Linked DNA regions of Mytilus edulis. The protein of the gene in region 1 interacts with the protein of each later gene in a pairwise test. Links are inferred from orthologs where the notes say so. Each region holds a gene or a part of one and is shown in the gene's direction. Other genes may lie near its edges.

The links. The genes of interacting proteins can lie anywhere in the genome.
Region 2: the proteins of exocyst complex component 2-like (region 1) and ras-related protein Ral-a-like interact in a two-hybrid assay, tested with the Drosophila melanogaster proteins (2 studies listed by BioGRID). The link is inferred for Mytilus edulis from reciprocal best matches to the Drosophila melanogaster genes Sec5 and Rala.

What each region holds. Positions count from the first base shown.
Region 1 is NC_092348.1:25,985,362-25,992,393, forward strand, and holds the start of exocyst complex component 2-like, read left to right. Parts: upstream 1-3,986; 5' UTR 3,987-4,093; exon of another isoform or gene 4,094-4,140; intron 4,141-7,032. UniProt on the Drosophila melanogaster protein: Component of the exocyst complex involved in the docking of exocytic vesicles with fusion sites on the plasma membrane.
Region 2 is NC_092345.1:84,788,696-84,796,156, reverse strand, and holds the start of ras-related protein Ral-a-like, read left to right. Parts: upstream 1-4,457; 5' UTR 4,458-4,608; intron 4,609-7,461.

The sequences.
Region 1 (7,032 bases):
TGCATATGATTTTATATGTACGAGAATCATTCCATAAAATATCCGTTTGATATCCTTTCAATGCATGACACTGTCTAGTGGTTTTTCTGCCACAATTACAAGGAAAACCTGGCTAAACTTGTGCTAAATCAAACACTTGAATCTTACATCGCTATTGATGTTAAGCAATTATTTAAAGGCCATCCGGAACTGTTGGGTTTTATGACAGTCTTCCTTCCATACACACCATCGCTGCAAAATAATTTGAACATTCAATTAGATGATTATAATATTATTTGGCAATCCAAAGAGAACCTGAAAACATCAGACCACAATAAACAGAGACCCCAAAAAAAAAAAGCCAATTTTACTTTACAATGAAATTGAAAAAGTAGTTAGTTACATGTCAAATCATCTTTTGGCTGTCGACAAAAAATAAATAAAATCTAAATTTCGTAGCATTTTACCCCCCCCCCCTTTTTTTTAACTGAATTTGTTCAAGGTATTAGATGAATTTCTAGCAAGTTTCTACGATATTCTTTATCATTTGACAAAATACTATGCATCTGAATTAAATTGTTTACTATTTGAAAAAGTGCGCCTTCTTCTACTTTAATTTACTTCCCTTTATTTCACATAGCAACAAATATTAAAAACTGCCACATTTGACTGCATATCAATTTTTTTTCCCAAAAAAAATATATGTCAAGCAGCATAATTAACTTTACAAATTGGGAGAAAATCAAGATGTTCCGACTATAGGTTAGTATTAAAAAAAAATAATGAAAGGTTGGCATGATTCCATGTTTGAACCCTGACGACACTTAAAATCGAAAATTCACTTATTTACCTATCATATGAAGATACGATGATGTGATAAACTTAACAATTAATAATTTACCTGGTGCATTATCATATTCACATTACGTTGACACGTCTCAGTTCGTCTGTGTTAGCTCCAAGCTCGTAAACAATGTACACCATTTTCCGCTGTTCTTTACCGATTACCTCTAGTCAGAAGAGCCCACTGTTTACAGGGGCGATAATATTTTGTCACCGGTTCACGCACTGGGTTGAAGGAAGGTGAAATCAGGTAATCTATAGTGTATGAAGACTTATTTTCTAAATTCTCTTCGTTCAAACGAACATAAATTATTTATGTTCTAGACTATATAATTTCTATATATCTCGGCCCAGTCTTTTTCTTATCTCATTCATATATAAATAACTAAAACACTAGTTTTAGAACTTGTCAGGCACGATGACCATTCTCTTTTATCTAATACCAAATCATTACAATACATGTTTATCAAATGAACAACAAATTACAAATGTTTGTAATTTTGCAAATACAGTCCACATCACAGAATATATATACGTCCTCTGTTTAAATAAACTTAAAAAGGTTATCTCAACAATCTACAAAAAACAAACAAAATTTGTTACAAAAAGTACATTTAATACTGTTTTCGAATCTATATGTGCTTAAGTTTAACTAACAAAAACTACGTGTGTACATGCGAATGGTCAACGCCCTTATCGATAATTTCAATTCGAGTCCACCGTATTTAAATACACTCGGGTTCATAAAACCTGTTACAATTCTATTGTTATATTAATAGAATTATCATACGATAAAATTCTTCCGCCACGTACATACATATATTGATTTAATAAAACCCTTATGTAATCTGTTGTAAAATATTACAGCATTATTATATACTCTAGCATTGTACCTATATATGTTTTATTACAGGGGTACCTGAGGTCACTCAATCCCTAAAAAACGAATATAACCAATTTTACTCAAATTAACTTAAAAAAATTACATAAACAACATGAACTATGCAATGTTCATCATGTCCATGAAGTCCTACATTTAAAATGAAGAAATTAGTTTATTACAGCGTAATTTTATACCCTAGCATTGTATCTCTTATTCTTTCATTACAGGTGGTACCTTAGTTCACCCAAAAAATAAAACCCGAATATAACCCATTTAACTCAAAATTAACTCAGTTCACCTTAAAAATTACATTACACAAACGTTACAATACAACATCTATGAAGTCTTATATTTTTAAATGAAGAAATTAATAATTATATACCCTAGCATTGTATCTATTACTATTTCATTACGTGGATACCTGAGATAACCCCCCCCCCCCCCCCACCCACCCCAAAAAAAAACACCTAAGAAATGTAACCAATCTAACTCTAGTTATCTTATCAAATATATGACATACGCTATGCATTGTCCACGACGTCCTACATTCAGAATGAAGAAATTAGTTTATTGCAGCATAATAATATATCATAGCATAGTATTTACTATTCTTTGATTACAGGGGTTACCTGAGCCCCCCCCCAAAAAAAAAACAAACCACAAAATACAACCAATTCGTCTCCAATGAAAAGCAAAATTATATCCGGGTGAAATTTGATCCTGAGGAAAAAATGTCACAGTAGTTGTTGTTATTTTTTTATCCGGAGGAAAATATTTCCCTGGGATATTTTTCCTTTGCCGTTAAATTCTATCTGGGTAGTTAACTTATTGAATAGTTATTAGAAAAAACTTACCCTTTACAAATACCATGAAATAATAAAATGATTTGAATTAAACCTATATTGTAAAAAAAAATGTATTATAATGGGAATTCTTTCACAAATTATCATTGAAAAAAATTCCTGAAAAAATTCAAGTAAATATCGTTCTTTTAAAAAGAAAATTATCATTAAACATAAGAAAGAAAACCAGAAATAATTTCGTAATTGTGAAATAATATCATGATTAAATAAGATAAGTGAAATACATGTAAAAGTGAGTTGTTTTCAGATCTCAGTACAAATATAAATTGAAAAGTAAAGGTAGAAATATAGTTGCAATTCTACTGTTAACAGTAATGGAAGAATTTGATTATGATAATATTATTAACTATAAAAACAGTTTTATCTGGGAACAAAGATGTTGTTGTTGATTATATGGAAATCAGATGAATCATAGCATAACAATATATTGGAACAAAAGCAATTTTAAAAGCTAGATAGTATTTACCTGTGAAATGTTATCTGTCTTATTAAAAATTCATGTTGTAAGTCATCTTTTGATATAACTGAATATATAAAAAATAAGATTCAAGGAAAAATTTCACTATGAAATAGATTCAGGAATATATTATATTAATATCTTTAAAATATAAATTGCTCATAATTACCTCCCTTTGATAAATTATGAAAATTTGTTCTACCTTTGTGAAACATTTTATAATTTAAGTCAGGTATATATTAATTGCGATTAACTTGCATACTAGTTAATGGGACTATATTTCACAAGGTTCTGTGAAATATGATACGGCAAATATATACGGGTACATACTATCCGCATAACACAGATAGATTTTCACTCCTCTGGAAAAATCTACCTGTGAAATACCATGCCTGGAAAAAAATTACTATGACAAATTATCCTCAGGATAAAATATCACAGAGGAAGAAATAAACCGTTACACAAACACATAACATAAACAATACAACGTCTATGACGTGCTACATTGAAGATGAAGAAATTATTTTCAAAATTACATCATCATTATATTATCAACAATATATCTATTTTTTGTTGGTATTAAGTCACATTACAATGTGGTATTGAGATTAATCAATAAAGGGAACTATATTTTCGTGCGAAATAATCGATGACCAATTCCCCCGGTTACCTAAGGGCACAGTTACTTCAGGGCATATATCAGTGGACCTTTCTTCCACCTACACATGGTATATTGCCGGCACTCGGTCATGATAATTTCAAATAAAAAAATCGATTTTTAAGGTTTTAAATTTTATAACAAACAAACAACTGGAACTGCACACCTGAAACCTGTGCACATGAATAAAACTGAAAATTGGGCACCAGTTGGTAGACGTTGCAGTACATGTTACTGTGAACCTTTTTATAGTAATTTGATATTTCTTTGATGATTCGCTGCAATAACAATCTATCCGGAGATAGACCACTGAGTTATCTCCACTTGCTTTTTGACAGTGGGGGGAAGTGGATATCAGTAAACAATTTCCCCTGTAAAACAGTAATAACGGTGCAGTAATAATAAGTCTAGTAAGATCAGTCAAATATCAGAATTGTTTATCAGGATCCGCACATTAGTTAGCAAAAACTGTTACGAGTATTCTATAATTTATCTCAAAATACAGGCTATTTTAGGGATACAAAAATGTAAACAGTTGAACTGTTAAGGTTCATGTGGACCCTATGACTAAAATGGCCGTATTTTCACCTCAAAATTTACTCTGAATACAGACAAACCTGCGCATCTGTAAAAAAAATTCCAGGCATATCATGCCCTAGATAAATAAATTTCAAATATGTTTTATGTTTTAGAAAAATAAAAACTTACCAGGATTTTGCCGTTCACTTTTTTTCATTCCTCCAGAAGTTGCCAAAAAAAACTAAGTTGGTAAACAGGTTTGAGAACTTCCCCACAGGTAATAATTGGCCGTTTCAGAATCTAAAGAATCATGGGTAATTTCATTGCTCGTACCCCAAAATGAAAATAACGTCACGTCATTGGTTGAATTTCCATTGTTTATGACATATATATATTTAACCAATCACGACGTTTTGGTGTACACTTTTGGAAATATTACTTAGGATGCATTAGATTCTGAAACGGCGAATTGAAGTGAGCTGTATTGCTTGACATGGACATGAGATGGACAATAGATACCTAAAAATAATTGGTCATTTAAACTGTGTACCTGAGTGGACCATATCAAGATAAACTCAACTGTTTGTTAATTTTATCATCTGCAGGGACGAAAAAAAGTGTACGGCAAAATCCAGTTAAGTTATAAATTTTCTAATTCATACAATGCATTTGAATTCTATTTATCTAGGGCATGCACATTGTATGCCTTAAAACTTTTTCGGATGCACAGGTTTGCCTGTACTCCGAGTAAATTTTGAGGTGAAAATACAGCCATATTAGCCATAGGGTCCACATGAACCTTAAATGTATGTATATACTCGTGTATTGTATTTTCGACCTACTAACATATTTTTCTGAATTTCCCTTTTATATGTTTGAACATACACATGCCTAATATTTTGAGAGTCACCAGTACACTTGTATCTAAAATACACAATGAAATACATTTCGATCTTTAATTTATTTTTTATTTGAATTCATCGGATCGATGGCACCTTTGTTGGCAAAAACAAGCATCTTGTGTTTTCGACCTATCTAAGAAACAGGTCTAAAGTCGGAAATGACATGTCGTACAAATCCGAAATTGATAGAGGTGATCAAACTTATGACTAAATGAATAGAATGGTTACATATACATGTACAACTATAAGATATAAAATATTATTTTGATATTTTTTTATACCCCCGCTTTAAAAAAGGGGGGGTATACTGTTTTACCTCTGTCTGTCAGTCCGTCCATCCATCAGTCCGTCCGTCCGTCCATCAGTCCGTCCGTCCGTCAGTCAGTCCGTCCCATGAAACTTTCGTCACATTTTTCTCAGGAACTACACATCCACCCTTTCTGTAATTTGCTATCAACATTTATATATGTCAGCCATACCGTGTGATGCATTTTCAGATTCATCACTTGACAACTTCCTGTTTACCGAACACTTGTCTGATTTTACACATGATAGCCAAGTTGAAAATTTTCGTCACATTTTTCTCAGGAGCTACAATACAAGGATTTCTGAAATTTGGTTTCAGGATTTTTATAAGTCAGCTATACCGTGTGATGCGTTTTCAGATTCATCACTCGACAACTTCCTGTTTACCGAACACTTGCATATTTTTACACTATTAATATTATCCACTTGCGGCGGGGGTATCATCAGTGAGCAGTAGCTCGCAGTTTCACTTGTTTGGACAAGTTGTACACATTTTAAAAGGAGACACATTGGAAGCCTTGTATGGTCTTGTATATATTATTCATGTTTTTGTTAAATACTTTCGTTAAATTTAAGTTAGTGCATTGTGAAGTGAGGTTGGTGAGTATTGTCTGTAATTTCCCATGACAGACTGATTTTTCTGTAAATAAAAATTAACTGATATTTTATTTTTTCGGTAAAAATCAGTAAGGAGCATGCATTTCTGTATGCAAATTACCTGTAAGTACATTATATTACAACTAACCATAGGACAGTCATGTGACTTAATGACCTTGAAGTTAACTTTGCATGCAAAAATACCTCTGCCATATTTTTTAGAAAATTTGTTTATTTTAGATCGTTTCTTTGGGAAGGTAAAACTAGTATAGTTGAAGCGTACGAAAATGTGATATCAAATAAAAAATCATGAATATTTAATTTTTATAACTTTATTTGGAAAATCTTTACCACACTTGGTATCATTTGCTATTGTTACTAAGTATAGCAGCCGAATATGACGTCACACAGGCATGCGCGGCATACAGGAAGTGAAAGTAAAATTAGGTTGAAAACGTAAGACGGTCGAAAACACAATACATATACTTCATAATTCAAGATCTAAGTAATATTTACTCGTATAAGTAAAGGAGGAGGGCAGCAAGGATCTCCATGACCTCTTTTATGATGGGGCACCGAAATCTTCCAATACACTTTCGCACCCTACACGTTCGTGTCCTAGTACATTCACTGACCCCTAGACGGTCGCACCCAATTTTTGAGTTCCAGCTGAATAATAAGAATTTTTTTTATATATACATGTATGTATTATTTACCATGTTTACCAAAACAAAAAATATTTTCCTAAATAATAATTGGTGACTTACTACATGATTTTTTTTTTTATTAATTTGTTTGTTAATTAATTATCAAATTTTAGGTATCAATGTATGATAACAGCAAATTGGTATTTGCACACAGCTAAATTTGGTATTATCTTTTGTGTGTTTGATAACCATGATGGATTGTTGTTTTAACTTGCTTTGATGTAAATGATTATGTGATTTATGCAACACCAAAAAGTTGCCAGAATGTCACTTTATTTTGAACCAATGAAAAATTATATATTTGTAGCAAAATATACG
Region 2 (7,461 bases), on another chromosome or scaffold:
TAATATGAACATCAAAATTTAGCTGGTAGTCTATTTCTATGCCTAATAATTTTGCTGTTTTTCATGTAAGGTTCGAATTTTGAATATGTATAGATGGGTTCTTTTCAAAGGTCTTTTTGCCAACAGCCAAAACTTGAAATTTGTCAGGATTTGCTTGCATGTTATTCACCCTGAACCACTCAATAAGTATTTTTGAATCAGATTCCAAAGTTGAAATTAGTAAATCGAAATCTGGAGTACAAAAGACAAAGTATTGTCATCTGCATAGTTATATAAACTACCATTTAACCTTGCTCATACATCTAAATTGGATATTTACAGTGAGGGAAATAAGGATGTCGAAAAGAACAGAACTTTCTGCACACTATATACAAAGTTCATTGCATGTGGCGGTATGGAAAAGAGAAAATATCATTTATAAATATGTTAAACAACAATGGCCCTAGTATCGAACCCTGTTGTACGCCTTTATGGATGTCAGCCCAACCACTAGAACATTGTTGACTTTACTTTACTGTTTTCGATTAGATAAATAGGACTTTAAAAGAGCAACAGCATTGGGGTTAAACCATATGCTGATAATTTATCTAGCATGATATTGTGAGGCAGTCAGTCAAAAGCCGGCTTAGAAAGATCCATTAATACCGCTGCAATTTACTGGTTTTTATCAAGAGCTTCACGCCAGTCTTCTAACACTCTGAGAAGTGTGGTCTGATATCCATGTCCACGTCTAAATGCACACAAAAATGGATTAAATATTTTATCAAAATAATCAGTTAATTGAATTTCCTATATTTTTTCAAAGATTTCAGAAAATATGGGTAAGACACTAACTGGTCTATAATTTGTTTTTAATAATGGGTCACTCTTTTTATGAAGGGGGATCACTTGGGCTTCTTTATGTTTATTAGGGAAACAATTATTTTCAATTGACAAATTTACAAGTGTTGTCAGCTGTAGTGCAATATAAGATTTACAATTTTTTACTATTTTTGCTGGAATACCATCAGCTCCTGTAGCCTTCTTTGTGTTTATTTTATCTAAAAAAAAATCGACATGATCTTTAGATACTATTTGAATTCAAAATCAGAATCATTCTTTCTGTTAATTAAAATTTCTTTTATACTTGGATGATTCGAGGGGTGATATACCACATCTGCTCCAATTTTGTCTGCTACTGTGGAGAAAAAAATATTAAAAACATTGAATGACAATTCTTATCCAATTCTGAAGCTGACTATTTTCTAGTGTCTTTATGTAGGTATAAGAAAAGCAGTTTCATAACATCATAAAGCAGTTGATATAAATTTTATGTTACAATGCATAATACTGTAATACTCGTTACAACAATCCAGTAAATTCACAAAAATACTGAAATCCGAGGAAAATTTAAAGTTAAAAATGGAAAGTCTTTTATCAAATGGCAAAATCAAAAGCCCAAACACATCAATGGGCAACAACTGTTACATTACTGACTTGGTTTAGGCGTTTTCTACATAATTAAACCTAAGCTGTGCATGCTTATAAAAAATATAGAATGAATGGTGGATCAAAGGCTACATACAAGTGCATTTATACATTTAATGTGAGCTCTGAATAGGGGAAATCTGCTGATCTTGTACTAGAATACTTACTATACTATTAGTATAATAGTACAAGGCCTGTTTTCAACGTCACTTTAGATAAATGCTCAAGTCAGACAAGCTTTTTGAGTGAAGGTTTTCTTTATACAGATCCCTTGAAAAAAGCTAATATATTAAACGAACAATATAAATCAACTTTTACATCTGATATCAATACAGTTATCCCTGACAAAGATCCATCAACACATCCAATAATGGACAAAATAGACATCAACAAAGAAGGCATCTATAGATTAATTAAAAATATAAATCCAAAAACGGCAACAGGACCAAATAACATTACTGAAAAAGAACACATTAACACATGCACAGACATACTCACTCTAATTTTTACAAAATCAATGCAAACAGGAATAGACCCTCACGATTGGAACCACGCAAATGTAACACCTCTTTTCAAAAAAGGAGAAAAACAGCATCCTGGTAACTAACGTCCAATTGCATTAACATGTATTTCCTGCAAATTATTAGAGAACATAATTGCAAGCATCATCAAGAAACACCTTGGATCCAACAACATACTTTATGACTTGGAGCACAGCTTCAGGGCAAATAGATCATGCGAATCCCAAATAATATCACTAATTCACCAGCTGTGTTCAAATAACGACAAAAACATACAAACCGATCTAATCATTATGGATTTCGCAAAAGCCTTTGACAAGGTTCCCCACAACCGTTAACTATATAAACTAAATTTTTCGGTGTATCAGATCAAGCTACAAACTAGATAAAATCTTTCCTCAGTCAAATCGTTCATAAACAGCTATGCTAGAAAACCATTCCTCTGACAACATACCAGTTACATCAGGTGTTCCGCAGGGTACTGTTTTAGGTCCAATACTATTTTTAATATACATTAATGACTTACCTGACTAAATTTTACATCACAGTCAAATCAGGCTCTTTCCTGACGATAGCATCATTTACCGACAGATAAAATCAACATAAGATTGCTTTAAACTCCAGGAAGACATAAAAGGGGCAATCAAATGGGAACAAGACTGGCTAATGCTGTTCCACTCTGACAAATGCAACATACTTCGAGTGACCGCAAAGAAAACACCTATCCATTTGTATTATAACAGGCACGGTCACATTCTTGAGTCAGCTGAAAATGCAAAATATTTAGGTATAACTATATTATCAAATTTAAAATGGAAAAAACACATTCAGAACATGACATCAAAAGCAAATAAGACCCTTGGATTCATCAGAAGAAATTTCAAAATAAACTCAGTAAGACAGTAACTATCAAAGACCGAGAATACCAAGCCCTTATTAGACCAAAACATGAATACTGCTTCCCTGTCTGGGACCCTTATACAACAGTAACATTAACTCCATAGATAAAGTCCAAAGACGTGCAGCGAGATATGTATGCTCCAACTACAAATATACTGAAAGTGTAACAAACATGGTAAACACACTTCATTGGCCAACATTACAAGAAAGGAGATTCAAAAGCAGATTAAATATGTTCCATAGAATAACAAACAACAAAATTGCAATACCACATACTGACATGCTAATCAAAAGCAAATCAAACACCAGGTCCAGCCACAAACAAACATAGCGACAAATTCGATGCAGAAAAGACAGTACGTTACAAATTTTCATTTTTCTGCCAAACTATAAAAGACTTGAACAAATTACCTAAACCAATAGCCCGCAGCACCACTACTGAGTGCTCCAAGATGAAACTCACTAGAGAGATGCTCTTTGACACTTACCAACACCTACATGTTTAATATATATCTTGTTTTTATCTTATACCAAAAATTAAAAATAGAAATTGAAAAATATTACTTACCTATACATCTATAATACTAAAATAACGAGGTCCAATTTGTCAGCAGTCATGGGGTAAAACACTACAAATCAAAGAATTAAACTTTATATATTACAAATTTTACAAGAACAGAATTCATTTATTGCAGAATCATCAAAACTATCATTTTTTCGACATTTTTGTTTTTCAAATAAACGTGCACACTATGTTGACCAATTGAATATGTTGAAAGATAGAGCACCTTTGGCAAAACTAAGTCTAAGTGCACACAATCTTGAAATTGAAAGAGGTAGATACATGCAAGTTAACAGAGAAGAAAGGTTGTGCAAATTATGTCATAATAAAAATATAGAAGACGAAAAACATTTTATCTTGCACTGCACAAAATATGAATTTATAAAGAAATGTTCTTATATCAAAATTGTCCTGTTTTAAAAATTATGACAAACAATCCAAAACTGAGGATGAATCAGTATATCAAACTACTACTTTTAATAACAAGTGTAGAAAAACACTTAGATTAATATCATCTTTTATTAATCAATCATTTGAATTAAGGAAAAATGTCCTTATAAATGAGTAATATGAACAATTTGAAGCTATAACATACAATATACTTATGTCAGTAGTCTATTCTTACAAATTAACCTATACATATTGATATTTATAACTGCACATTTCATTGTTCGAAATGTGCCCAATGATATGCTATGTAGTATTGTTTATATATATAGTTATGTACTTTAATTCAGTCAAGGACCCGCAATATCACGGGTGTGTTCTAGTTTGTATATATAAAAATAGAAAAAATATTATAAAATCAAAAATATATTTTTAAACATTTACAATATTGTTAAACCAGGCATGCGTCGGAAAGTAATCATCAACCAGTTGAGGTTTTTCTGTATATAAAGAAGAAGAAGAAGAAAGACTAATTCTTTTCTTATGAATATGATTTCAACACGAGTTACTTCTCTTTGATTTAATTCGTGTCGTTTATTTTCTTCAGTGTTCCGTAAAATGCATGTACCGAAATGGGTACCCACAATGCAACAAAACTGAACCATTTCCACTTTGCTGGAGAAATTTAAATGTTTACAAACTTGTGTTTATGGCTTGAATTTGATACTGGTGTCTATTGTACAGGTTAATTGTGCAACTATTAAAAAAAAGGTAAGGGTTTATACGATTTACAAGAAGAATTTGACTAAAGCAGATATAAAGTACCTGTCAAAAATGACATTTTATCGGGTTTCAGTTTGTGACCAAAATAATTTGTTAATTATTTTTCAAGTCTATGGTAAACCCCTGCAAGATTCATCGCATGCTGTCATTTACATTGTATTTGGAGTTATTATCACCCAAATTGACTCCAAGTTTTAGAACCACATGCGATTGTGAATCGAGACTCATCATATTCTCGTGTATGATTTTTAAGTCATATTTTTTTGACACACCCTTTTCATTTAATCTCTTATAGTTTTACTTAAATTACTGAAACATCAAACTCAGTGTACAGTTCAAATGTATTTGATGTGGATGTCGTAAAACTATCCCATTGACAACTTTATATATCATAACGGCTTATACAGGTTGTGGAACTTCCTGATAAAACTACCAATTTATGCCAATAATTATGGGATCTCCCTTTAGAGTCTAGTCAAGAAGGCTAACCAAGCAACAACAAGGCTACTTTATCAACAAGAAAAAAAACTTGGCATCAAATGAACTTGCTATTACAATTATTTCAAATTAATAAAGTTAGAAACATGGAAAAAAGCTTTAATATGTTAAAAAGTAGTCAAATAATTATGACATAAAGTCGCTGTCATGTAAAGGAGTATGTTCGGAAAGGTCCTAAAATGGCCCCCCTTTTTAGCATAAATTTCAAATTCGGATTTATTGACCAATATCACAATATATAATAGCTAATACAGTGACTAGAAAGGAAATAAGCCATTTTGTTGAAATTTTTACGTTTCTGCGTTTCATTATGACGTCACAAGTTGTACTCATATTGATTTTCACGAAATAATCAATGAAAATGGGTAAATTTCCATAGATTATTGGACAGGAAACGTAAAGCGCATACGTCGACAACAAAGATCTTTTAAAATAATGTTTGTGAAGACATTTTACATGTCTCATTTGAAAATTAAGTTTGTCGACGCCTGCGCTCTATGTTTCCTGGTCCTCAATTTGGTTGAAATCCAGCTGATTTGGTCAAATTTCACCAAAATCCCTTATCTTGACCTTTTTGGGATGTAAAAATCAATGTGTTAGAATTAAACTTTTGACAAAAATAGTTCTGTTTAACTTTATCACGTGTCTTTAAGGCAACTTAAAACATTTAACGTCTTGTAACTATGAACTTTATAATTGGGGTCAAATATGACCCTTACCGAACATACTCCTTTGGTACATTGTACCATGTTTTTGGTTGAAAAATTTTAAAGTACCAACCGCATTCTGACATTCAAAAAATAAACTACTGTCCTACCTTGTATTGTGTTTGCACTGTAAAATCCTGACCTTCACATAATCCAAGACTATTTTGTATGGTGGAATCCAAAATTGTTATTACTGGAAGTGTTGCTGTGGAGTTCCACTTTCTGTCTATTTTCTCGGGTCTCTCAAGTCATTTCATTATCTTTATTGTTTAAATGCAAAAAGCATCGGAAATTGTATCACATCAATGACAAGGATATTACCGGAGGCGGAAAGTAATGAATGTTATGTAAATAAGGGATCCTTAAAGAAACTTAAGACAACAGTTTTACAATGTAAATAATCTTGAAAAATGTGAAGGTCAGGATTATACAGTGCAATCACAATGAATGGTAGGACAGTAGTTGATATTTGGAAAGGATTTTTCTTCTGCTAATAGAAAAACATCACCCCCGGTGGATGCAACTGATATTTAAAAATATTTCAACAAATTTCATGGTGCCAATTTTACGTGACTGTGACTATAGTGTCGATGTAAGGCATCAAAGAAAAAAAGTATAATTTCCTGTCAAGACGTCACAATTATTTGGACTAGTTAAAAAGATAGAAAATTTTTTTTGCTGACGTTTATAACTTCCAATGAATACTAATTGACACATTTAACATGTTGAATGTAGAATATTTATTTGTGTTTCCTGCAGCTTTTCCTAGAGGGCACTCCTTCAATGTAGCATGATTGGTTACATTTTAAGGGCAGATAATTTCACTTTTAGAGCACTCTTAACATAGAAATATGTGCTCTGTTTAAATAGATAGGGATATAATTGAATGTACCATTGTTTCATACTTACAATGTATTGGGAAGAAATAAAGATACATGTATGTATATTACTATTAGTTTGTTAATTTTAGTCCTTTAGTAATAAAATTATCACTTCTTGACTCAGAATCTTGATCATGTTCATTGTGCTTCTGCCTCATTTCAATCATTAAATTCAGTTATAAATACTGGATCACTGATGAGGCTGTCATACATGTAAGATGTGGTGTTGTTAAAGTGGACATGACCAAGAGCATGCATAATTTGTCTTTTAGATGCACAGAAGAAGTGCTACATTTTTTTGTAAATGCCTTTTGGATCTCACATGTTTATACCAATCATACATGAAGATGTAAACATAGCTACCTTGGCTCATTAATGTACAAAATAGTTTAAGAATATTCAAAGATTTGTATAGCAAGACTTATTATACATATTCTGCTGCTTTTATTCACTTTTCCATCTGAGTGTTTTTGTGTATTTTTTTTTCAACACATTGTTTATTATTTTGAATTATAATTATAATTATAATAAATTCAAAACTAAATTCTTTTCTTTAATTTGATAACACCAGTATGAAAGTAGTCGTAATTCACACACAAATTCTGACGTCTTCACAGACCGAATAGTATAAAAAGAAAATATAAACAAACATTGGATTGTTCATGTAATTATCATAAGAATACATTTTTTTTCATCTCAAAATTATAACTCAAATGATTGCCTGGATCCCTTTAAAATGGTCTATATTTTAAGAT